6 linked regions of the Coturnix japonica genome follow. The protein of the gene in region 5 interacts with the protein of the main gene of each other region in a pairwise test. Links are inferred from orthologs where the notes say so. Each region holds a gene or a part of one and is shown on either strand. Other genes may lie near its edges. The genes, in order: KHDRBS3, RBFOX2, PAK5, BEND7, PSMF1 and FBXO7.

Region 1 (4,504 bases), on a different chromosome or scaffold from region 5:
GCGTTCATTACCAATGAAAAAACACCTCAGTATTACAACAGTACTGCAATATACTACAAAGGATAAATGAAATGTGCTGTCTCCAAACTTAATACTTCCAAAATGCTTAAGGTTTTTATTAGGGCAAGAGGAGACAGACACCTCAATCCCTAGAGACCAACAGCACTGCCTATAGAAGTATTCCGGCAGCATCCTAGTCATCTCTGTATTGTGTTTCAAGTGACTCCTCTGAAACAACAAAGCATGTCGAGCTCTTTCTGTATCATTTGCAATTACGTAATTTGTATGTATCCAAATTATAGTTTGTAATTATGAGCGTAACATGCAAATGTGTCCACTTCTGTGCGAAAGCTGTAATTAACAGATTTTTGGAAGTCTATATACAGGCCACTTTTCCCTAGCCTAGAAGCTGAGTTTCAGCATGGGTAGTTATTTCAGCTACTCTGCTCTTCTGTTGGTGTTGAAGCAACTGAAGTGCGGGTGGAGAATCTCAGGAAGATCTGCAAGTTCAACCATAGAATTCCCAAGCATCAATCCTGAGTTTATTCAGTTAAAGTAAATGCAAATCCTATATGTAACACTCTTAAGACATTAAAACACCATTACGTAATTAAGCTAGTTATTTTAAGCACCTAAAGCCACTGCTAAGACGCTCTCACACACCTAGGCTAAGCTGAACTCTGAAACATGCTTCATTCTAAACCGAGAAACTAAGCAACTTCAGCTTTAAAAAAAAACACTACAAGCCACTTAATCTGCCTTGCTGTTTTATCACAGAAAGAACTCACTGGAGTTGGCATATGAAGAACAAGCAAAAATAACACACTTTGCCACTAATGACTGTACTCACTTAACTGTGAATATCAACTGAAATAAATGAACCAGCCACTGATAAAGTTCTGTTAAACATCTTTTCTCAAAACAGTGAGTTTCTCAGTTCTATTAGACATTCAACTCACCTCACTTGGTTCTTCAACTGTACAACTGCCTAAAAGGGTTTTAGATAGCAGCTAATGAAATACATTTTAAACTACAGTTAACTGGCTGATAGTTGTCTTGCTTCGGTTTTTTACCTAACATGTGAACACTTTAATCACATTTAAGGCAAGACTTCCAATATAGGCAAAAATTTCAGGGAGACTAAAATAAAGAGGTTAGAACCACAACCATCCACTTTCCTATCTATGAATACATTAATTGTTCTTGGAGCCACAGGTATGCAGATAGGTACAAGTATTATACAATAAAAGCAGGTAGACATTTCTGCCTCCTAATTGCCCATCTGAATGAGAACTCCAAAATCTATCAGCTTACAAAAGTGATTATTCTGCAGTAATAACTGGAGAATTGTATGTACTTCTATAAAGAATACTGGAAATAATTTACATACGTCTACAACTTGTACAAATTGTGTAAAGGTTCTGCCAGTATTAACTTAAAGTAACTTCACTAACTTGCAGCCTTAAATTCTGAGCCATCGAGTCAGCTTTTAGCATTTCTTTAATAGGGAACACGGAAATAGAGAGCTGTGTTAACAAAGAGCTTTCTCTCGCTATCAGTGGCACTTAGACAAAATCAAAATGGGAGTAAATAGGCAGAATGTCAACAGCCCAAGGGCAGGCAGCTGCAAGTCACCCAGTATACACATTCCACAGCTGAAACTAACAGTAACACCAGAACATTTTGGACAGCAGTTGAGTCTCCTTCCAATTTAAAGGCTGGCATTTGCAGTCCATTACACATCAAGCAGTATGTCAGTGCACTGGAAGAAGTCACACTGATGTAGCCCTATCCCTGTAGCATGCAGTACATCATACAGCTACGCTATCACTTCAACTGAAGCAATAAACATTTAGCTGCCACTGAGTTACACTGGAAGACCGGTCCCTAACTTGCTTCAATCCAGCATGCTAAACGTTCAGAGTGTCTAAATACAGAGCAGGACTTGTAAATACAGAGATGTGTAACGGGCAGGTGATTTACACCGAGCCACACAGCCCAGGTCACATGGCACTGCTTTTCTACTCAGCATTACTGAAACAAAGAGCCAGTACGACAGGACGTGTCAGAGGCACAGGGATCACTGGGACTATCTGGAGCTGAGTATTTGAAAAGAAGCATGTTCACTGTTTTGGGTAAAGGCAACCAAATGCGTTGTTTGCTCTTTAATACTGGAGTTACAGTGGCAGCAGATCCGAAACAAAGATGCAGGCTCTGTCCAACTGGGACACGTCTACAACCACTAAGCTAATTACGCTGGAGGGTGAAAGAGGGAAACACCCACGGGCTTAACTGCCCCAAAACTTCAACCCATCCTACACAGCAGCTCAACTCGGAACACTATAATTTAAAGCACCTCAGACCCGAGCAGGGCTAGAGGAAACCGCCCTCAGTCACCCGCGGGCAGGACGGGGGGGGGAGTTCAGGAGCCGGGCAGCACCTCAGCAACAGCCATAGGATATAGAACAAATCGCCGCCGTGACGGTGGGCGGTCTCCGCGCCCCTCCGCGTCGGGCGTCTCCGCGGAAACTTCCAGCAGCGCGGAAGGATGGAAGGATAGAAGGATGGAAGGATGGAAGGAAGGGGCCGCCGCCGCTCGCCCGCCGCGCCCCTCACCTTGGTTGACCAGCCGCAGGGTGTGCGTGAAGGACGGGTCCAACGAGTCCTTCTCCGCCATCAGCTCGGGCAGATACCTCTCGTCCATAACGGCGGTAGAGGTCCGGGGCGGTAACGGAGCGCCCGCGGGGAAGGAGATGGCGCGGGGTTGGGTCGGTAAATCCTTGGAGGCAGCGCTTCCCCCCGGCCGCCTCCCGCCTGGGGCTGCGGGGACGCATCCAGAGGGAAGCGCCGCGAGTCTCCGGCCGAGAGGGGAAGGGAAAGGAAGGGGGGCGGCCCCCCGGGTGCGGGACGCGAAGAAATCCCTCAGTGGAAGCGCACGGGGCGGAGGAGAACGGATAAAAAGGGGCTCCGAGAGCCGCCGAGCCCAGCCGGGACGCGCCCCTTCCGTGTACACACGGGCGCCGAAGAAAAGCGTGTTAAAAACAAAAGAGACAGCAGACACACAACAAACACCCTCCACGGCACCGCACCAACTGAGCGAACAAATTCCCCTGCCCCGGGTTTAAATACCTCCGCACAGGCCCCGCCCCCACACCGCCCTAAGCCCCTCCCCGAACACACAGCCCCTCCCTATGGGCGGTGCTCTGCCCTCCCTATGGGCGGTGCTGCTTCAGCCCCCGCCGAGTCGCCCCGCCTGCTCCTGTGCCGACTCCCATTGGGTACATCGGGTACATACGAAAGGGGAGGATTTTGGTTGTTAAATGAGAACCAAAAGCACGATTTTAACTTATTTTCTCCCCCCAAATAGTGGTCGTTCTGTTCACGCAGTGACAAAGCCCACGGGAAGCAAGGACGTGTGTCCTCCTCTGTAACACGGCACAAAGGGGACCAAATCACTGTAGCTGAAATCACCACGCTGAATTTTGGCTTTCACCCAATGAAAGGCCACCGAAAGTGTAATAGTAATAGTAATAGTAATAGTAATAGTAATAGTAATAGTAATAGTAATAGTAATAGTAATAGTAATAGTATAGTAATAGTCTCGTGCGGGTTGGAAGGAACCTTAGAGATAGAAGTGGTTTGTCTCTGTGATCATAATCATCTCACGCTGCCTTTTGTATTTCATGCCAAATAGATTTGCAGTAGGTTTTAATCATATCCTCTTTTTAGTCATAGACGGGGACAGAAAGCCCTGTAAAAATGTAAGAGAAGTCACTCCGAGTTAAAAGGTTAAGGCTCCTTCCTCAGAGCTCCGTGTGCTCCTTCACCTTTCAAACAGGAGATACTTTGCTTCTTGTTCTATTTTATGGACTGGAATGCCACATAAAACAATGTTTGCTGTGCTACAGTATAACGTCTGTTTGATTTACATTCTCCTTCCGACCCTTCCAAATAAATCTGACCCAGCAGTAACAAGAACCAGAAATAGATGTACTAAAAAATATATATTCTTGAATATTCTCCTGCATGACATCAAACTTGACAGGCGTATGAGCAGACAACAAACACGCGAGCAACTGCAGAAAGTTGGGTTGTAATGAGTTTTTTATTTCAATCCTCCATCTAAATCTTCTATATAAAAAAAGAAAAACCTCCTGAAAGGCAGCCATCTGTTGTGAAAGAGGGAGAAGGTGACACAGGACAATATGTAGGAGTGCAATCTTTATTGAGTGACCTGGAGCAAAATAATCCCTACCTCTGCTAGTAAAACTAAAAATGTATTTACAGTCCCTCTGCAGCAAACAGAACCTCAGAAAGAAAAGTAGATATATTATAGAAATGGCATAAAATACAGCGTGCTTTTCTTGGAAAAAGTCATATTCCTCCTAGTACCTGATTAAATAAACATTTGATGTTTCAGAAAGCCACAGTATTTCTTCCCAAAGTATAACAATTCTCCCTGACTTGAAATACAAAAAGACTTACTGGATGTCTGTAGAGTTGT
Region 2 (3,779 bases), on a different chromosome or scaffold from region 5:
TACTGCATAGGCACATATATAGCATTAAAAAGTCATTCTTCTCCTGTCTGAACTGAATGCTGCTTTGATAAGCATTTTGAATTTCAATCTTAGTCCTGAGCCAAGCAGGAAAAATTCTTCTTGGCCTGAAAATGTTCCTGAACAGCTTCAACAAGCAGGAAGCTTGTTGCATAGGTAGTTGCTTGTGCAAGAATCTCTTCTAATTACAACCTAAGATTCAGAAACAAGAAAATAAAGATTTTTTTTTGTGGTTCTGCTCCTGAGTTGTTGTGTGGCTCCTTGCAGATCATATAGTTGGTGGTTTTTTTTGGTTGTAGAACTGGGGAAGCAGGGACAGGCAGAAAGGTTGGGATTCTGGCTTTTAGTATTTGAAAGGAATTAGGAAATCTTATAGTGAAAGGCAGTACAACCATGTTACATGCGCATGAGAGGAAGGACAGAAATTGTGTATGGCTGTTTGGTATCAAAACCTGGTCTTAGGACTTGGGAAACGTGGTAACAGGAATATTGTGCCTTAGCAGCCTGCGGTGTTTGCTTTAAAACTGTGCAAGGGACTCGGTATTAGGCCAAGCATAAGGCATGCTAGCAAGTGGTGGTACAATTGTTTCAGTGTCACAGGGCCGATCCCAATCCAGTTATTGTTATCACTTGCATTAGTGTTTGCCAGCAAGGTGTGCAGTGCAGGACAGCTTGCCCACACTCACAGAGGAAGCATGCATTGCATCTCACTGGTTCACATGGGGGAGTGGTGTTGATGGGCTGCACCTCATGAGGTTTCTAGGCTGAGTAGGAGTGGTGAAAGTGCAGTGTGTGTATCAGGACTCCTAAAGCTAGATAGAGGAGAGGTTGGAATCTTTTTCAATAGAAATAGTTGTGTGATTGCTAGCTGAGCAGATACAGTCTTCCCTCCTCTTTCCATGCCAGCCCAGATCACGTTGTTAGTTCTACACCCATCTTTGTGTGCCCAAAGAGGAAGCTGGTAGGGATGGCAGACAGGTTTCTAGATCTGACAGGGGAACGTGCTCTTCCTCACTCCCCTTCCACAGTGGCAGGCCAGTGGTGGCTCCTTTAAGCATTATTCTCCTGTGTGTTTTGTGTTGATGACTTCAGTTCTTGCCAGTTATCCAGATGATATTAAAACCAGTTCTCTGGGAAGGCTTTCATCTGGAAAGGAGCGTAAAGATGATAGGAAACTCTAAAATAACACGGAGAGGAGCAAATGTGAGATGAGGAGAGTGAATTGCTTTTTTTGCAGTGCAGTCGTGCAATCCAGTTAGTGAGGAAATCTCAATCACTGATGCTTTTTAGATCTCTAGCAAATATGACAGAGAGGTGATTTGAGAATTTAAAGGTGTAAATTGACTTCCCTGTGGCTTCGGAGAGGTTTTTGGATCCACGTGAATGCGTGGAGGAGCTGACAGCATGGTTCACACAGGGAATGTAGGTCTGTGCGGTGCTCGCGGCAAGTACGTGTCTGAGGCAGTTGGCAATTCCCTCAGTGCCCTCCTGCAGGTCAGCTGGCGTTTGGCTGTTCCCTTCAGTACAGCAACCTACACCTAGACCTCGATGTTAGAAAAAAGCAGTTGGCCTCCATCTACACCAAGGGGGATTGTGGTGAAGCAGAAATTCGAAAGAGCTGCTGCATGTGAAGCTGGGGCGCATGCACAAGATCCGTTCCCTGTACCCACGCTGCCTGCTCCTTCTCTTGGTGTAGATTCTGGCATTCACTGCAGTCTTTGTTGTTTCAGGTTGGAAGTTGAGTCCTGTGGTTGGAGCGGTGTACGGCCCTGAGTTATATGCAGGTAGAGCTTCAGCAGACACTTCCACTTCTGCCATTTAACTGCAGTGGTGTTTGTTTATGTTCTCAATTTGCTGTTTCTTTATAACCTTTTTACGTTTTTGTTTTTGTTTTTTTCATTCTTTTTAAAATTAAATTAGCGTCCAGCTTTCAAGCAGATGTCTCGCTGGGCAATGACGCCGCAGTGCCCCTGTCAGGAAGGGGGGGTATTAACACTTACATTCCTTTAATCAGTAAGTAGCCCCCATTGGCCCCTCTCTTGTTACTGTGCTTGAGTTAACTATGACCTGTTTCCCTTCTTTTCTCCGGTCTGTACGATATATACTTGAAAGGATGGGTCTTGTCGGGAATGAGTTTACCTATAGCCCAAGTATGCTGCGCAGTGGCTGTAACCCGTTCATCTGCAGTTTTTCTGTACTATGAATGGGTTCATCTATGTGACAAGGAGGCTGCAGACCTAGGGGAGGGTGTGTGCAAGGAATAGGCCGTTCCCTTTATTTCCCTCCGCCCCTTGGGAATCAAAGAAACCAAACGGACAGTTCCTAAAGTACATATTAGACAAGCTGTCCAGCTTTGAGTGCACAGGGCCCCTTGGTGTGCACCTGGGTGCACACCAGGTTGGGTTCATGCCTCTCCACTTGTCCCTCTTGGTACCTACTCATGACGTGTCTGCAGATGCCTCTAGGGCTTCACGTCATTCCACGGTGAGCCAGCATCAAGTATAATAACGTTAAATGAAGAGGGGCTCTCAGTAAGCTGGCACTTTATGGGAAGTTTCTGCTGCTGTTATATGGGCTATCTTGTCTTTCAGGCTTTAAAATGAACATACAGAGGATTGGGTGGCAAAGAGTGGGAGGGGAAAGGAGGGAAGAGACTGATGTAAGTTGATTGACTTTAAGGGCCTCTTGACAAATTATTTTAAAGAGCCTCTGCAGTTTTGGAAGAGCCGCCTGCTATATTGATAGTAACTCTCTGCGCTTCTCGGACTCTAACCAGACTGCATGGCGGTGTCAGAGGGGGGGATTTGGACCCTGTTTGTGGTGGGTGAGGCATGCCAATGCATTAACCTCTTGCATGCCAAACCTCTCTGCAACCCCTCCTCCCTGAAAGGCCATGGTGTAGCAGGACGTATGTATACGATGCTTGCTGGGTTAGAAGCATGCCCCTCCGCAGGATTGATGCAAAACATCCCACCGCTGCGGAGCTCTTGTGTCACTTTGTTTGAAGCAGGCGGTTGTTCCCTGGGCAGGAGCTGGGATCCTTTTCACCTTCTCTCTTGTCTGTCTTTACAGTTCCAGGCTTCCCCTATCCAACTGCAGCCACTACAGCAGCCGCATTTCGGGGAGCCCACCTGAGGGGCCGAGGAAGGACGGTTTATGGGGCAGTCCGGGCAGTACCTCCTACAGCCATCCCTGCCTACCCAGGGTAAGCATTGGTCGCAAGAGCAGAGTGCTCTGCACAACCGTGTCAAATAATAAATTGGCTAACAAAAACGTAACTAAAATTGTTGGATGGTGAGAGTCAGGCTATTTGCTTAGCGCCAGAGTGTTCTGCATACGATGGCATCCAATGGGGGCAGTCCTAAATTTTGCTACATTAAGTTCATGCCTGAGAGAATGTTCAGTACTTGCAACAGCCTGAAGTGCTGATGTACTCCTTCTCAGAATTTCTCAATTCATCTTCTGGTATTTGTCATCCATTGACCCAATACATTGCAGCACTACTGAGAAGGACGCAAAGAGGGGTCTAAGATGTCCTAAAAAGTTACAACTCTCTGCACTCGTATTGTGGTTTTCTTGCCCAGGAATGAGGAATATTATCTCTTACCTTCATGCCTCACCATCTGGCAGTAGGACACAGAAGAGCCAGCTACCCACAATGGATTTGCTTTCTTTGTTGGAGACGGTTTAAAAAGGTTTAAAACAAAGATGAATCAAGTCCATTAATTTGAAGTTGGGAGTGTTTGGGATACCAAAGTGCA
Region 3 (3,779 bases), on a different chromosome or scaffold from region 5:
CTGGTGATACTGGGCCTATTCATCTCCCAGCCCCCAGCAGGGGGTTGGAACTACATGATCTTTGAAGTCCCCTCCAACCCAAGCTGCTCTGTGATTCTAAGACTCAAAGGGATCTGAGGCCCCTGGGTCACAGACCACAGCAGAGGTAATAAAATGGGAAGAAGAGCACACAGGTCAGCGCTCTGTAGTTGTCATCAGAATGGCAAGCATTGGAATAATTAATATCTTGAGGCCTGGTGGACAGCTGACCCTGCTCTATGGGTGCCAAGACAGCTCAGGCACCTGTGCCTCACACCAGCCTGGTTCAGTAATTCTTTGAGCACAGTGCAATGCTGCATCTCAGCATCTACAGCCCTTCCTTTGTGAAGGGGATTCATTTGTAGGAATTTCTGTACCTGTGAAATTTCCTGAATTCATTTATCTCCATAGACAACTGTATTTTGTTTTAAGTTCTAATACTTCGAATTACTGAGTGTACTGCTGTAACAATGGAAAATGCAGCAATGACAGTGTAGTAGTAAAGCCCTATGCTGCAGCAGGGGAGGATATGCTCAAATTACACAGCTATGGACACAGAAACACCCCTGGAAGGCCTCAAGCACACAAGGATCTCCAGTCAGATCCTTGTGCCTCCCCTGCCAGCTCTTAGATGAGGTCTGGGAAGGGGTGGATCCTGGCTCCAGCCCTTCTGGTCACTCAGGAACATTGCATGCACCTGAGCTCCCCTGGGTTGGCCCTGCCTTCCCACCAGGTGCTCAATCACTGGTTCAGGCCGTGACACAGCATTTCTGCTACACGGAGGTTCTAAAACTAAATTTGGAGGAGAGCTGTTAGTTTGGGACAAAGGCTCTTCCAGAGTGTAGTCATGAAAAACACCGTGCTCCTGGAGAAAGCCTAAGGCAACACTAACAAAGCTCAAGGAGAATAAGTTCACTTGAATGATTACAGCTTCATTTCAACATTACCATAAAACTGATGCTGAGCCAGGCATATGCATACTTTGTATGAATGCTGTGAACTCAACCACCACATCTAGAAGTGAATATACAGGAGAGGGACCGCACTAACAACAGCTCAGCCAAGGTGCCGACAACTGCATGATATTGAGGGATGTTGGAGAGGGGACGGGGATAGAAAACATGAGGCAGGGAAGGCTCTAATTACCCTGTGTAGATAGAGGGAGGTGCTGAAAAGCAAAATGGATTGTCAGCTCTTTGCTTGCTAACCATCAAGAAAGGAAAGGGATCACAAATGATTAGGAGGGGAGGCAAGGAGAAAACAAAAAGCACCTATTTGCCAGAGTATGGCTTGTGTGCTTCTTCAGTGTTAAGGTCAGCTGGGATCCTCCATCTTAGCAGAATAAACTGTATCAGAAACGGTCCAAAGAAAGCAACCGGGCAGTGTCTGTGCACTCGATAAGCTGTGTGGACCAGACAACAGATTTCTTAGCTGTTTACTGTGACTTCCCACCATGTTATTACAGGTTTAAAGCCAGGAGGAGATGTAGCTCATTTGAAACCGATCGGATTATTTCAGACACCATAAATGAGCACAGGACTCACCCCTCTGTTTTAGGAAAACATTAATTCGGCTTCATGGCCTCCGTTCAGATCACATCTTATGCCACACTGCCCACAGCAACGTACCTCATTGAACAGCAGCTCCCTCCTCTGCTGTTTCCTGAGATCCATTTTCTTCACAGCAACTTGCTTTCCCGTGTGCTTCTCGGTGGCGATGCAGACGATCCCTGTGGAGCCCTCCCCGATCTTGATGAAGCTGTCCAAGTACTCCCGGGGATCACCGGGGCTGACGACCAGCTGCAGGGCGGCTCTGAACTGTTCGTGGGACACCCTGGAGGGCTGCTGGTCTGAGGAGGAGCCCCAGCTGGGCGGGGGATAAGCACTTGATGTGATACTTGGGGAGCTGGGGTAGGAGGCGGTGGAAATATAGGGAGAGCTCGGCTGGAGAGATGGCTGGTGGTAGTGGGATGCTTTGTGGTAGACCAGAGGGTACTGGTAGCTGCTGCTGGAATAGCTGACTTTGCTTTGACTTTGAGGTAGCTTTACTGGGCCCCTTGGGTAGGTGTCTGATCCACAGAGTGGTGGGCTAACTACCAGCTGTGCTCGGTCGTAATCCACCTGCAATACAAAAGCAGAGGAGTGGACATGAGTGAAGAGCTGTGTTTCCAGCTGCCCGGCCGACCCTGACAGCTCCATTCTCTTTCTGCACCCTGGATATGCTCAGCAGGGTGCCAGCACAGCACGCTCCTGCATGGATTCGTTGTTCGGTGAAGGACACTGCCGCCTGCAGATTTATAGACCACTAGGTTGCATGCCCTCTCATCACTACTGAAATGAGGACAGTAAAGACCACTGGGTCTTCTGTATATCTCCTGTATCTCCCAGGTTCTCTTTTATGTCCATGAACCCATTTGGAGACATGGTAATCTTAGTTAAATAAAAGCATATGGTCCAAAGGAATGCATTTACTCTGTATTAGCAGTGCCCTGCAGGTCCTCTGGGCCATTTCTTCCAGTGAAGCTCCCTTTCAAAACAAGAAGCCCTTTCACAAACTGAAATTCATGCCTCTCCTTCCCATCACGAGTTTCTGGCTTTTGACTCTCACCCGTTAGTCCTCACTTTTGCGGAGCCACCGCAGAGCAGATACAACCCTCTCATCTTTTCTTTTTTTACCCTTTTCAGCCCTAAAATAGCCAGGCCTTCCCCACCATCCCCACAAGTGGTATCAGGGCTGCAGCATCCACGGCAGTGTAGCAGCATGGCGGGAGCACTGCAGACCATGGACAAACAGCAGAAGAGCACCAAATTCAAAGCACACGGATAAAACAGAGAGCTACAACTAGGGGAGCATGTAACCTGCTTGAGGTGAGAGATGCTCAGCGGAGCCTTCAAAGGGACTTTCTCCAAGCAAGTTAAAATGAGGAGACTAATCCAATACACCATTACTTAAGTCATTTTCCATAGTGACACCCTACTTAACTGCAGCATGGCAAAACTGCTCATTTTCATTTCAAATAGGAGACAATGGTGAGGAAATTATCCCAATGGGGGGCCTTTGTCATCTCAGGTTCCCTTCTTCCCTTGTATTTTCCCTAGCTCTTCTAAGCTACTCACAATGAAAGTCAGCAAATACTCTGCATTCATAAACAAAACTGTCTCCATCTGTGAAAAACAGAAAAGGATCTAAGTCAAAAAAATGCACCTGGAACAAAAGTATTAATTTCTTTTCCCAGGAAAGGGCATCTCCACGTTTATGACATAACATACGTGACTCCTGGCGGCAGGTGGGGCACTGAGGGGCTGGGGGTGGTCAGGCACAGGCTCATGATGTAGCACGATTACAAATAATTACGGCAATGAATTCATTTAATCAATCAATTTCCGCGGCGGCCCACAGAGGTGGACAGCGCAGCAACCCCGACACAGCTCACGGCAGCTACTATTGCTGCTGGCTGCCGGCCAGGAGTCCCTGATCCATGTTAGTTAAATGCACATTAATCTGAATTTGGCAGTGTAATCAAGGACCCAACTGAACTGTGAAATTGAATTCTGCGCTGGAACATCATTTGACCGTTTTATGCGAAGACTGCAAAAAAAAAAAAAGAAAAAGAGAGAGAGAGAGAAGAAAAAAAATCTGCCGCAGCATCAATCTATCAGTGTAGGCTGCTGCACAGCGAGGAGGAGATTCTAGCTGGAGTCACTCGGTTGTGGGGAGAAAAGCCTCGGAATGAAGAAGAGCAGCGCTGTATCAGCGCTTCT
Region 4 (3,779 bases), on a different chromosome or scaffold from region 5:
TCACCTCCTGGCACTGGGTGCAGTCTGGGCACCAGAGCACAAAAAGGACAGCTAACTATTAGAGGGCTACAAAGATGGTGAGGGGTCCGGGGGATAAGGTGCATTGGAGTGGTTGAGGTCTCTTGGTTTGTTCAGCCCAAAGAAGACAGAGGGGAGGACTCACAGGGCAGACACTGAGCCCTGCTCTCTGTGACAGCAACAGGACCTGAGGGAACAGCATGGAGCTGTCAGGGGAGGGGCAGGGGGTGTTAGGGAAGGGTCTGCATCAGAGGGCAGTGTGCATGGAACAGCCTGACCAGGGCAGCAGGCACAGCCCTGAGCTGAGTTCAAGGAGTGTTTGGCCAATGCTTTCAGACACTGGGTTGGGATTTGGGGTGGTTTGTGTTGAGCCGGGACTCAGTGATACTTCAAACCCATGATATCTTCCAACTCAGATTATTCTACGACCTTAAAGTTCACTGAACACTGGGAAAACTACAGTGGCAGCAGTACTGTGTATGACCCCACGACCCATGCAATATCGTAAAGAGAACATTAAATTACAGCGCTATGCAAAATGTCTTCCAGTTTCCTTAGGCACTCAGACATGCTGGTAGTGAGCACACAAGAAATCCTTATGACTAAACAGAAAAAGATAATACTGCCATTCATTCAGAAAGAAATGACTTTATTTAGCTTGCTCAAAACGTTTAAGGTCACATTTTATTTTCACTGTTAAATATATCTCTTTTCAGAACTCAATGATTTTATTTCCAAAGGCAAAACAAAAGTCAATTTGTTTGTCTTGGAGTTCTGTAACTATTCAAACAACTACTGTGGCACATGCAGTCTGAAGCACGGGAGGGCAGATGAAGATCTGATTTATGAAGCGCACGTTTGCTGTTCTTTCTTAAGTTCAAATTGGCATCTACAAAGGACTGTGCCCAGCAATGAAACACATTCATAATGTCAAATTAAATTCCATTGCAAGCACAAAACAAAAGCACTGCTTTCAAAACTATGTTTCAAGCTGAAAAGAGTGCCACGAGCAAAGACAAAGTGCAAGCAGGAAAAACACACTGGTGATAAATAATTGGCCTCACCCCAGAACATTCCCTCAAACATTGGGAAGTATCATACTACAAAAGGAACTCTGAGAAAGCCCAGTGAATGCATGGAACTAGTTACCTCGTATCACTACAGAGACCCTATGGCATCAGACTGCAACCTAATTAGTGGTGTGGCTTGCATCTGTATGACTGAATTATCACCACTGCTCTCTTACATTAGTAGCTCCCCCTTTCAGAAAGGTAGAACATTATCTGCAGAATTGTTTTCATTTACGCTTACTGATGCTGAATTTAATTACACTTTTCTATCTCACGGTATTTACAAAATTGGAAATTACCTCCTCAAAATTAAAAATATATTAGAGTAATTAATGATGGGTTTACTCATCAGTGAACTGTTCAGACAACATCTGTCTGGTCATTAAACAAGGCAAATCAGCCACCTAACACATGAAGTTTCTATTGATGCATACATGTTATGTGAATTAATAAAGCAGGCTTAGTGCAGTTTTACATGTGACAAGTACATGTTTTAAAAGCAAGAAATTTTGGCTCTTTTAGTTACAGTGAAATTATCAACAGTGCCAAGGCACTTATCTAGCAACCACAACACTGAAGACTAAAGGACCCAGTTCAGCAGACTCAGCTATGAGTTTTATGGGTGTGAGAAGACCTCTGAAGCCAGCAGAACCAGCCAGTCATAAAATAAAGTGTATGACTACATGCCAGTAGGGTAAGGGCATACAAGTGAACTACCTGAATTAGTCAATAAATGACAGAGGTTTGGAACTGGTTATACACGTAGAACTTTCCTGATCTCATGGTGGCTCTTGGGACCAGGAAAGATGAAGAACAAATTTCCATTGCAAGCTCAGACAACAGGAAGCTTTGAATTAAGACTGAACTTCATGTTTGAGAAAGCTGGAGAACAAGAACAAAACTATCCAAACTGAGGCACCTGTCTCCATTCCAACCTACCCAAGGTTTTCTTGTTTATTCAGCATGAAGACGGGATACATTTCAAGCTGACATGCGTACATGTTTTCCCAGATCAGTGCTTTAAAAACCTGTGATTCAATGTATTGAAATATAACTTACATCTGATGAAGCTGATTCAAGGATAATTCCAAATCCCGTAAGAGGGGTTTCTATGTTGAGAGAGGGTTCAATTGCTTGTAGACTGGAACTTTCAGGGGTCGCTGACAGCTTCTTATCATTCTCAGCAGCACTGGTTTTCTTATTCATAGTAAATGGCTCACCAGTTTTGAGGGGTAGTTTTTTCTTTTTATTTCTCTTTCTTGATATTGTCGACTTCTGAGCACAAATCAGAGGAACAGGAGGTTGTTGTCTGTTTTGAGTCCCAACTGAATGAGAAAAAAAGTAATGAATTGAATTTATAGACAAAGAAACGTGTATAACCACACAGACACACCATTAAACTACAGGCACACTGAACTCATCCTCTGGATAAATGGTGTAGTTTTCAGTGCTGTTTGTGCATGTGGAATAGTTACATTTTATCTCCTTTGCATAATTTTCCTGTCTGTACAATGGAGATAATGACACCGAGCTCCAGTATGAGGTATTGAAAGACACACTGATGAAAATTAGAAATACACGGCTCTTCTTCCTTCTGACCACTGGATGGTCAGTGACATGGAGGGCTTAAGTAACAATTAATTTGTATGCTCTCTTGAATGACTGAAAATCTCACTGTCTTTTGAGCATCTTCTCCAAAACAGCACAAGTGTGAATGCAATTAGTTATTTTTCTGAGCATAGTCACCAAGTTAATTAGTTCAGCAAGAACATTTCAAATATTATTATGTCAAGAATGAGTGAAAACACTTTTCAATAGTTTAATTTTTAGGAAGGAAGTCACACAGTTCTATCAGATGGGTTTTTTTTGCTCATACACAGAAGCTGACAGCTCACATCTTACAATTGAAACCTAAGTGATCATATTTTATATTTATCAATGTTTCACATTTTCTGGTACCCACCATCCACAGTCATTTGTACACATTAAGGCACCAGTCCTGAACCCACACCAATGTGACAGAACACCGCAGACACAATGACTTGTCTCCTTGAATCAGTTAATAAGATTAAAGGCAAAATGAAAAAGAAATCTGAAGCGCTATACATCTTTGTTTTACCACACTCAAATCGTTCCGAACTACAAGTGAAATACTAAACTGTCCTCATCTGCAAAGACTGAGGAAAAAAAGAAACCTTATTGCACTGGTTATTGAATGATTTCTTGCGCACTTCATTTCCAATAACAACTTACAATGCTTCAATTTTTCATTTAGCATTTGGACAGAAGGCCTTCTGAATACCAAAGGAAGCTACTACACCTTCACATACATGTTTGCATTTTTCTTTTTGTTTTTTCTATTACCAACAAAAAAGACCAAACATTTTCTTTTCTCTACAAAGCTATTTTTCCATATGTATCAGAAAATATGAACTACACCCTGGCCTTTGCATTAAGAGATTCACAAACTGTTTACAGGGTAGATATATAGTAAATCAGAACTGCTTTTGCTATCAAGGAACCAGCTCTTCAGGCTTAAAGTCCAGTCTGTACCTCTCACTCACAAGTCATTTTTAATCAGGCCCATAATATCAGTGCAATCAGTGTGCAAAGAATTCCCTGCCCCAGCCAGGACTGTAATACTGGGCCTTCGTGTCCTTTTTTTTTTGTAAATGTTTGACTTTTTGAAAG
Region 5 (2,880 bases):
AGCTGCAGACAAAAGATTGTTTATCAGAACCCGACACATCCTCTCCTGGCGCTGGATCGTTTTAATTAGCCCCATCAAAGCAGGCTGTGTTTCTCCCTCCTGAAAGGTTGCAGCACATGATTAATGCAGGCAGCAGAAAGCAGCTGTCTCCCGCAGAGAGCCTCTGTGATAAGGCAGAACCACTTCCTCTCCCCACAGCACTGCACATCCCAACCACACACAGCAAGGTCGGGGCTGCCCAAGAGCTGGGAGAACAGTGGGGACACAACAGGAGCCTCACCCTGCTCCAGTTCACCCACTGCCAAATCTCTATGGCCAGCCCCCACATGCACACAGTCTGGGGTTGCATACACTGCAACTCAGCTGTTATCAGCTGTGTTTGTAGGCGAAAGGGGGTTAAAAGGAAAAGCCTTAAGGGAAAAGGGAGAGAGGGGGGCACTTCCCCTTTTTATTTATGCCTATGCAGCTGCACGCAGTGTAACAGCGGTGTTCAGTGCCCTGGAGAGCCAATTACCACCAAACAAGGGCTGGGCCGTTCTCTGCTTAATTTTCTTAATAAGAGTCTCATCATCTCAGAAAAGCAATGCTGCTGAAGGGAAAGAACAAAGCTGGCTTCCAGCTCAAACCCACCACCCCAGGTAGGGCAAGCACAGACAGAACGGAGCTCCTAAGTGCAGCTTTGGGGCTCCTCTTCTTGTGTGGGGGAGATGAGGTGGCCAAGTGGGGCAGGGGGAATCACCCCCAACAACTGCCAACACAACACTGTTGTCAGATGTTTATTTCAAACTCATGAACATCCTTCCAAGAAATCAAACCACGATTAGAAAATATTCAACCCCTCAGTGGGTTCCAGCCCCAGAATTATCTCTCATGGGGAGCTGCAGGAAAGGGAGGGGGTCCCAGAAAGAGCTGAGAATCCTATGTCCCATGCAGGTCTTGTTCTTCCTCCACAAGCTGTTTGCTGGTGGCAGCACAGAGTCCAGCTGGGCAGAGCCACAAAAGTCTCATGCCACAGGACTGACAGCAGCAAAACATGTTCCTATAAACCTGCTGCAAAGCAAAGCTCTAAATCCTTCAGCTCCACCAGGCACAGAGAGACTGTGCTGGACCCAGAGTTCAGGTAGGCGCCCAAGCCCCCTCTGTTCCACCCCAACCCAACACAGTGCCCGATAGGCAGCCCTCCACACCGCCTGTGGGTTTGGCACACATCCCCAGGAATGAAGGACTACAGGGGGCCAAGTAATGCCAGGAATTCACTGTACGTCTCTTTTCATGCACATCAAAGGCTTTGCTGTTGGAGCCCTTCACATCCAGTGTGCATATCCATGCAGAAGCCCACCTGAGCCACTATTGGGGGTCTGCCCACACAGACCCTATGAGATGGGCTTTAAGCCCTCTGTGCTGATCAGCACTCTGTTGGGATAAAGAGCAAGAGAGAAACCATCTCTGCACTGGAAGCCTTCTCCAGCTGAAGCTTTCAGTGAGACTATTGCAGCTCCCCAGCATGGGAGTGGCAAGAAGCCAGCTCCCTCCTTACCACTGACTGCATGCGTAATCCCAGCAGCAAAAGCTATGCCACCCTGGAGAAGAAGAGGAGGAAACCTCAAAGCCCAGGGCTGCTCTCAGCACGCCACACTGCTCCCAACACTGCCCTGGCTCAGCGCAGGCCCGTGTCTGCTGTGTACCCATGGCTGGCTACTCTTGGAGGAGTAGAGAAAGAAATGGACCTACTGCCTCCTCTTTTGTTCTGTGCATATGGAAACCTTTATAGCCAGTCTGAAGCACAGGAGCATGGCCCTGAGCAGGGAGAGAAAATCGCTGCTGAAAAGATCAAAGTCCACCAAAGACGGGAATGAAGAGGGGAAAGTGCTCCTCGCTCCAGGAGACTGCTCCGGCTGCAGCTAGCTGAGAAACCACTCAGTGACTCCTCACATGAACATGTCATCATAGCCTGGAGGTGGGAGGTGGTCGGGATCTGGCCTAGAAAGGAATTTAGAACAAAGTCAAACCAGGAGCAAGAGCACAACCCTGGAAGGAGCAGCAGAGCAGGGGCAGACTGGGAGCATGCTGTGGTACTTGGCTGCAGTGGCAGCTCAGGCATAGCCATACACCTACCCGGCCCTACCAGCCCCTAAGGGGCCAAAGGGGTCGAATCTGGCTCCAGGTGGAACTGCTCCTGGGGGAAGGCGGCCGGGGAGACCTGCTGATGGGTCAATGCCAGGCTGCGGGAACCCAGACCGGAGAGGATCAACGATCATCCCACCACTCCGACCTCTGGGAAGAGGAAAGGCAGCAAATGAGATGAGATTGGCACAGAAGAGCAATGTACTCCTCCTGCACCCTTCCCAACGCTGCACCACAACACATGCTCAGCGCAGGGTGTTAACTGTAGCTTAACACTACACTGAGATGGGAGCCCTATGGCTGCAGCACACACACCTAACCCAGGGCACGAGCAAATATCCAGATCCAAGGCACCACCATACTGGCAAACTTTCATTCTAGCTGGAGACACGCAGAAGGAAGCAACAGCAGCAGCTTCCCTCTTCCCTCAAGTTCCTGCAATGAGCCCATGCAGAACACAAGCCATGGCTGCTAAGTCCCCAGTGGGCTGCTGACCATGCATCGGAGCTGCCGGCCCTCACTGCCACTTGTAGTCCCATCCCTGCTCCCCTAGGGGAGCACAGTGTTGCAAGAGCCTGCAGACCCTGCGAACCTTTCCAAAGCACTGCCTGGAAGTCATTTGCTGACCACGGCGGCTCCTCAGAGCTGCCCCATGCTGTGAGTGCCATTCCTCATCGTCGGCTTTATGCAAACTCGGCTGGAGTCTCTGGATAGCACTGCCATCATACAAGTCATTAACAACAGCGCTAATGAGTT
Region 6 (4,352 bases), on a different chromosome or scaffold from region 5:
GGGATTATATACACAGCCTCTGTATTTTTTCAATACTTGTAATGCAAGTCTTTCATTTAAAAAGTCTGTCATTTTCTTGCAAATTGATAATAAATTATTAAACATTTGTCAGAATTCTTGCAACACTTAAAGGAACAATTATTGTGGTACTTCAACGTGCATAGCAAGAAACCAACATGATTAACTCAGACTCCTTAGAAATGCAATAGGCTTAAATAGCTAAAATAATCATTAACAGAAAGCATTTGCTGACATTTCAAGAAGACTGTGGCTTTATTGTCATTTCCTTTCTTGCATGGGCTTGCATGCCCACAGCACCAATGTACTAATGCTGCTTTGCTCCTGGCAAGAATCAATGGGACAACGGTCCAACTACATTCTCCTTCACTACTCAGAATTCTTTGGATCCTAAATCTTAATTCCTGTACTTTGAAACAATACCTTATACATATGTTTGGCAATATTTCTCATATGAAGGTCGGAGCGAGTGATATTTTGTATTTGACAATTAATCCAAAATCAAAGAACAAATAAACATCTTCTCAAGCTCCTGTCTAGGAAGGGACAAAATCAAATAATGAGACAGGCACCAAGCAGCACGGCACCTAGGGGTCTCTTCTAGAAAAACCACTTTCACCACACAACTAGCAGCTGGCAGATGCAGTTGTCTGCTTAACTGTTCTATCTACAGTCACAAACAAATCACTGCAAAACATGCATAAGACATGTCTATTAACTGGAAACAGGTTTGTGGCTTCATACAAATGTACACTTCTGAAGCACAATGCTACCTTAGCACTGTTAAACTTCATGCACAAGATAGACAGATCTCTCATTCCAAGCAGGCCATCTGAATCCTAGAAAACTGCTATAACCACGAGAATGGAATCACACATGCTCAACGTGAGAGTGATATTTCAGTATTTGCTGCATTTGTGTGGTACCTCAAGTAATTTTTTTCAAGGTAGCACTGAGGCACTAGAACTTGGAACCAGGACATAACAAGTAATGATGGAGACAGCTTTCCATCCAAATAACTGGTTACATTATCAGACAGTCAGAACTAGTCAAATATTCTGAAGCAATTCTTTGATATGCAGGGCATCACCTGATGTAAGATACCTCATTTTTTGTCTTTTGTCAAGTCAATTCTCACGTGCTTACCCTACTGTCACTTTTCTGAGCTTCCGCTTGAGATTTCTGGTTGTCAGACTCTTCATTCTGCCTTTCTTCTTTTGGACTGTCAGCCTGACTTTTGGGAGTTAAGGTGGATATCTCATGACCATTCTGAAGTGAGGGAGGATTAGAAGATGAGGGAGGAGGTAGGCTGGATTTGGCATCTGTTTCTTCTAGTAATAAACATAACAAATCACCAGGAACTATCCCATATGAAACTAAAGTCTTCTCATCTTCTGTAAGAGCATCCTTCCCATTCAACGTTATTGAAAACTCTGTATCAGAACTGTAAAATAACAGAATAAGGAAATATGGTTAGCTGCATTTGAGTAGCTGTACACAGAGGTATAGTTAGAAAAGCATACTATGTTCTACAAATGTTATTCCTTTGGGTTCTAATCTATCAGTAAGGTTCAACAAGGGCAAGCACAGAGTCCTACACCTGGGAAGGAATAACTGCATGCACTGGAACAGGTGAGGGGTGACCTACTGAAAAAGATCTCTGCAGCAGAAGGAACTGGGTGCCCTGGTGGGCAACAGGTTGGCCATGAGCCAGCAGTGTGCCCTTGTGGCCCAAAGGCCAACAGCATCCTAGGTGCATTGCAAAGAGCATGGCCAGCAAGTCAAAGGAGGTCATCCTCCCTCTCTTCTTTGCCCTGCTGGAGTACTGTGTTCTGGGCAGCCCAGTTCAAGAAAGCCAGGGAACTTCTAAGAGAGCCCAGCAGAGTGCCACTGAGAAGATGGAAAGCATGGAGCATTCCCATATGAGGAAAGGCTGAGAGCCTTGGGATTGTTCCACCTGGAGAAGTCTTGAGGGGGAAATCTTATCAATGCTGATAAGAGTCAAATGGATGGGGCCAAGCTCCTTTCAGTGGTGGCCTGCATCAGAACAAGGGGCAACAGACACGAACCGGAACATAGGAAATTCCACGTGAACATGAAGAAAAACTTCTTTACTGTGAGTGTGACAGAGCAGTGGAACAAGCTGCCCAGAAAGGTTGCGGAGTATCTCCTTCTCTGGAGATACTCAAAACCCACCCAATTGCTTTCCTGTATATGCTACTGTAGGGAACCTGCTTTAGCAGGGCATTGGATTAGATGATCTCCAGAAGTCCCCACCACACCGTACAGAATGTCAAGCCCTACAATTCTGTCATTCAGTAACACTCAGCAATACACTACAGCAAAAGTGAGGAAATAATTACAGTTTGAAGTTTCCCCCCCGATTCGCTCTCCAGGTACACTGGAGCAAAACTTTTTCTAAGTTTTTATTAAGTTTCACCTCACAACCGTTCGCACTGCGCTCCCGTGCGACAGAGGACGCCTCTCCCAACCCGTGGCCAGGCCCCGCACAGCTCCCACGGACCTCTCCCCACAGGGGGCGGCAGCGCCACGTCTCGGCCAGGGGTGGGTTAGGGAAGAGAAACGGGCCGGGCCGCCCCGACCCCACCCCGCGTGGTTCGGCCCCGCTCCCGGCCGCCCCCCCGCCGCCGCGGGATGGTTCGCTCCGCGCGCTACCTGTAGCCCCAGGCTGGAAGCAGGGCCCGGCGGAGCTGCGCGCGCAACTCCCCCAGCGTTGGCTCCGCCCCCTCCAGCTCCAGCGGCGCCGTTCGTTTCTGCAGCCGCACGCGAAGCTTCATGGCGGCGGGGCCGGCGGGGCCGCGCTTCCGCCCGCTTGACGTTCCGAGCGGGCCCCCGCCGGCTAACGATGGTGGCGGGCAGCGGGCGCAAGGGCTGCCGGGGCGTGGCGGTGTTTGGGTTGGCGCGGCGCCGCCTCTGCCCCCGGCCGGCTCCGCCTCCGGCCGGCCCCGCCCCCGCTGCCCGAGGAGCGGTTGCTCGGTGTGCCAAGATGGCCGCCGCCCGTGGTGCGGCGCGAGCGGGTCGCTGCTGCGCATGCGCACGGGTGGCGCGCCGTGGCGGGGAGGTATGAGGCGGGAAGGTGGCTGTGAGCGCCGTGGCAGCTAAGTGCAGTGAGGGCACTGCGAGCGCTGTGCCTGTCAGGAACCGCTCTCCTGAGTCTTGGAGAAGGTTGGCTGGAGTGTTTTGTATCTCTTCAGCATTGTGACCATTTCTGCAGTTTCCAGTAATCAAGTATCAAACTGAGCTCAGGCTGGGCAAGGCACTCTACAAAAAAAGTATTGAAATCGTAGAATCGTAAAATGGTTTAGGTCAGAAGAGACCTCAAAGATTGTTGATTTCCCACCCCTTTCTATGCACAGGGCTGCCACTCCCCAGCTGAGGCTGCTTAGGTCCCCATCCAACCCAGCTTTGAATGCCTCCAGTCATGGGGCACCCACAGACCTTTGGGCAGCGCTGCCTACTGAGTAAAGAATTGTTTCCTAACATCTAACCTTAATCTTCCTTTATACTAGTGTTGTATAGCTAATACCTTTATCGAGGCTCTGCTTCACATCTCAGGTTGGCTGCTGGCCCTTATGCAGCATCCTACGTTTCTTTTTGTGGCTTTTAACTGCTCTACTCCTGATGAAAATATGTGCTCCATATGGAGCATAATTCTATAATATCCATACTCCATATGGAGTATAATTTCTATTGCTTTCCTTCATCATTCTTGACCAAACATCAATGTAGTCCTCTACTGGAGGCTGTAAAAAAAAAAATGACAGAGGTGTCTGAATCGGAAATGTCCTTCAGAACATCCTTCAGGACCAATTGGCTGCTATACTGTCTTTGTTCCAATGCTGTCAGCTATGATGTGAGAACCTCAGATTGGAGAGGAACCTGAATCACAGAATATATGATCTTAGATATCTTAGGCAATCTTGTCCTATATAAGAGTTTATAAGTTTATCAAGGAAATCTTAAGGTCCTTGTAGATCAAACTACGTCTCACAAGCACCTTAACACTTTTGTTCTTTATATAATCCTTTTCACTATTGAACTACGTGCTATATATATCACTATTGAGCTACATGCAGAGCAAAATTCTTTGAAGTGACACCTCAGAAACAGAGTTTGGTATCTCTGCATTAGCAGCACCTTTGCAACTCTTAGCTGTGAGGCCAGCATGCACTGTGAGAGCACTGACTTGTTAAATGAACTTTGTTAAAAGTGAATCAAGTAGTCCAGGTTCAGGTACTAGGACAGGACAGTTATAGAGGTCAGAAATGCAAACTAAATGGGTTAGAACAGTGGAAAGTGTGTTCTTGTTTACC

The links.
Region 1: the proteins of PSMF1 (region 5) and KHDRBS3 interact in a two-hybrid assay, tested with the Homo sapiens proteins (2 studies listed by BioGRID and IntAct). The link is inferred for Coturnix japonica from reciprocal best matches to the Homo sapiens genes PSMF1 and KHDRBS3.
Region 2: the proteins of PSMF1 (region 5) and RBFOX2 interact in a two-hybrid assay, tested with the Homo sapiens proteins (2 studies listed by BioGRID and IntAct). The two-hybrid records come from large-scale screens. The link is inferred for Coturnix japonica from reciprocal best matches to the Homo sapiens genes PSMF1 and RBFOX2.
Region 3: the proteins of PSMF1 (region 5) and PAK5 interact in binary tests that used the Homo sapiens proteins (3 or more experiments, as listed by UniProt). The two-hybrid records come from large-scale screens. The link is inferred for Coturnix japonica from reciprocal best matches to the Homo sapiens genes PSMF1 and PAK5.
Region 4: the proteins of PSMF1 (region 5) and BEND7 interact in a two-hybrid assay, tested with the Homo sapiens proteins (2 studies listed by BioGRID and IntAct). The two-hybrid records come from large-scale screens. The link is inferred for Coturnix japonica from reciprocal best matches to the Homo sapiens genes PSMF1 and BEND7.
Region 6: the proteins of PSMF1 (region 5) and FBXO7 interact in binary tests that used the Homo sapiens proteins (3 or more experiments, as listed by UniProt). The link is inferred for Coturnix japonica from reciprocal best matches to the Homo sapiens genes PSMF1 and FBXO7.

Annotation. Positions count from the first base shown.
Region 1 is NC_029517.1:128,991,296-128,995,799, reverse strand, and holds the start of KHDRBS3 (KH domain-containing, RNA-binding, signal transduction-associated protein 3), read right to left. Parts: upstream 3,080-4,504; 5' UTR 2,705-3,079; coding exon 2,617-2,704; intron 1-2,616. UniProt on the Homo sapiens protein: RNA-binding protein that plays a role in the regulation of alternative splicing and influences mRNA splice site selection and exon inclusion. Binds preferentially to the 5'-[AU]UAAA-3' motif in vitro.
Region 2 is NC_029516.1:47,483,387-47,487,165, forward strand, and holds part of RBFOX2 (RNA binding protein fox-1 homolog 2), read left to right. Parts: intron 1-1,748; coding exon 1,749-1,802; intron 1,803-1,938; coding exon 1,939-2,031; intron 2,032-2,609; exon of another isoform or gene 2,610-2,677; intron 2,678-3,090; coding exon 3,091-3,223; intron 3,224-3,779. UniProt on the Homo sapiens protein: RNA-binding protein that regulates alternative splicing events by binding to 5'-UGCAUGU-3' elements. Prevents binding of U2AF2 to the 3'-splice site.
Region 3 is NC_029518.1:12,079,428-12,083,206, reverse strand, and holds part of PAK5 (serine/threonine-protein kinase PAK 5), read right to left. Parts: intron 3,183-3,779; coding exon 3,135-3,182; intron 2,139-3,134; coding exon 1,647-2,138; intron 1-1,646.
Region 4 is NC_029516.1:6,076,165-6,079,943, forward strand, and holds part of BEND7 (BEN domain-containing protein 7), read right to left. Parts: intron 2,414-3,779; coding exon 2,148-2,413; intron 1-2,147.
Region 5 is NC_029535.1:9,165,176-9,168,055, reverse strand, and holds the end of PSMF1 (proteasome inhibitor PI31 subunit), read right to left. Parts: intron 2,275-2,880; coding exon 2,116-2,274; intron 1,981-2,115; coding exon 1,929-1,980; 3' UTR 764-1,928; downstream 1-763. UniProt on the Homo sapiens protein: Plays an important role in control of proteasome function. Inhibits the hydrolysis of protein and peptide substrates by the 20S proteasome. Also inhibits the activation of the proteasome by the proteasome regulatory proteins PA700 and PA28.
Region 6 is NC_029516.1:48,686,261-48,690,612, forward strand, and holds the start of FBXO7 (F-box only protein 7), read right to left. Parts: upstream 3,018-4,352; 5' UTR 2,817-3,017; coding exon 2,695-2,816; intron 1,463-2,694; coding exon 1,165-1,462; intron 1-1,164. UniProt on the Homo sapiens protein: Substrate recognition component of a SCF (SKP1-CUL1-F-box protein) E3 ubiquitin-protein ligase complex which mediates the ubiquitination and subsequent proteasomal degradation of target proteins and plays a role in several biological processes such as cell cycle, cell proliferation, or maintenance of chromosome stability.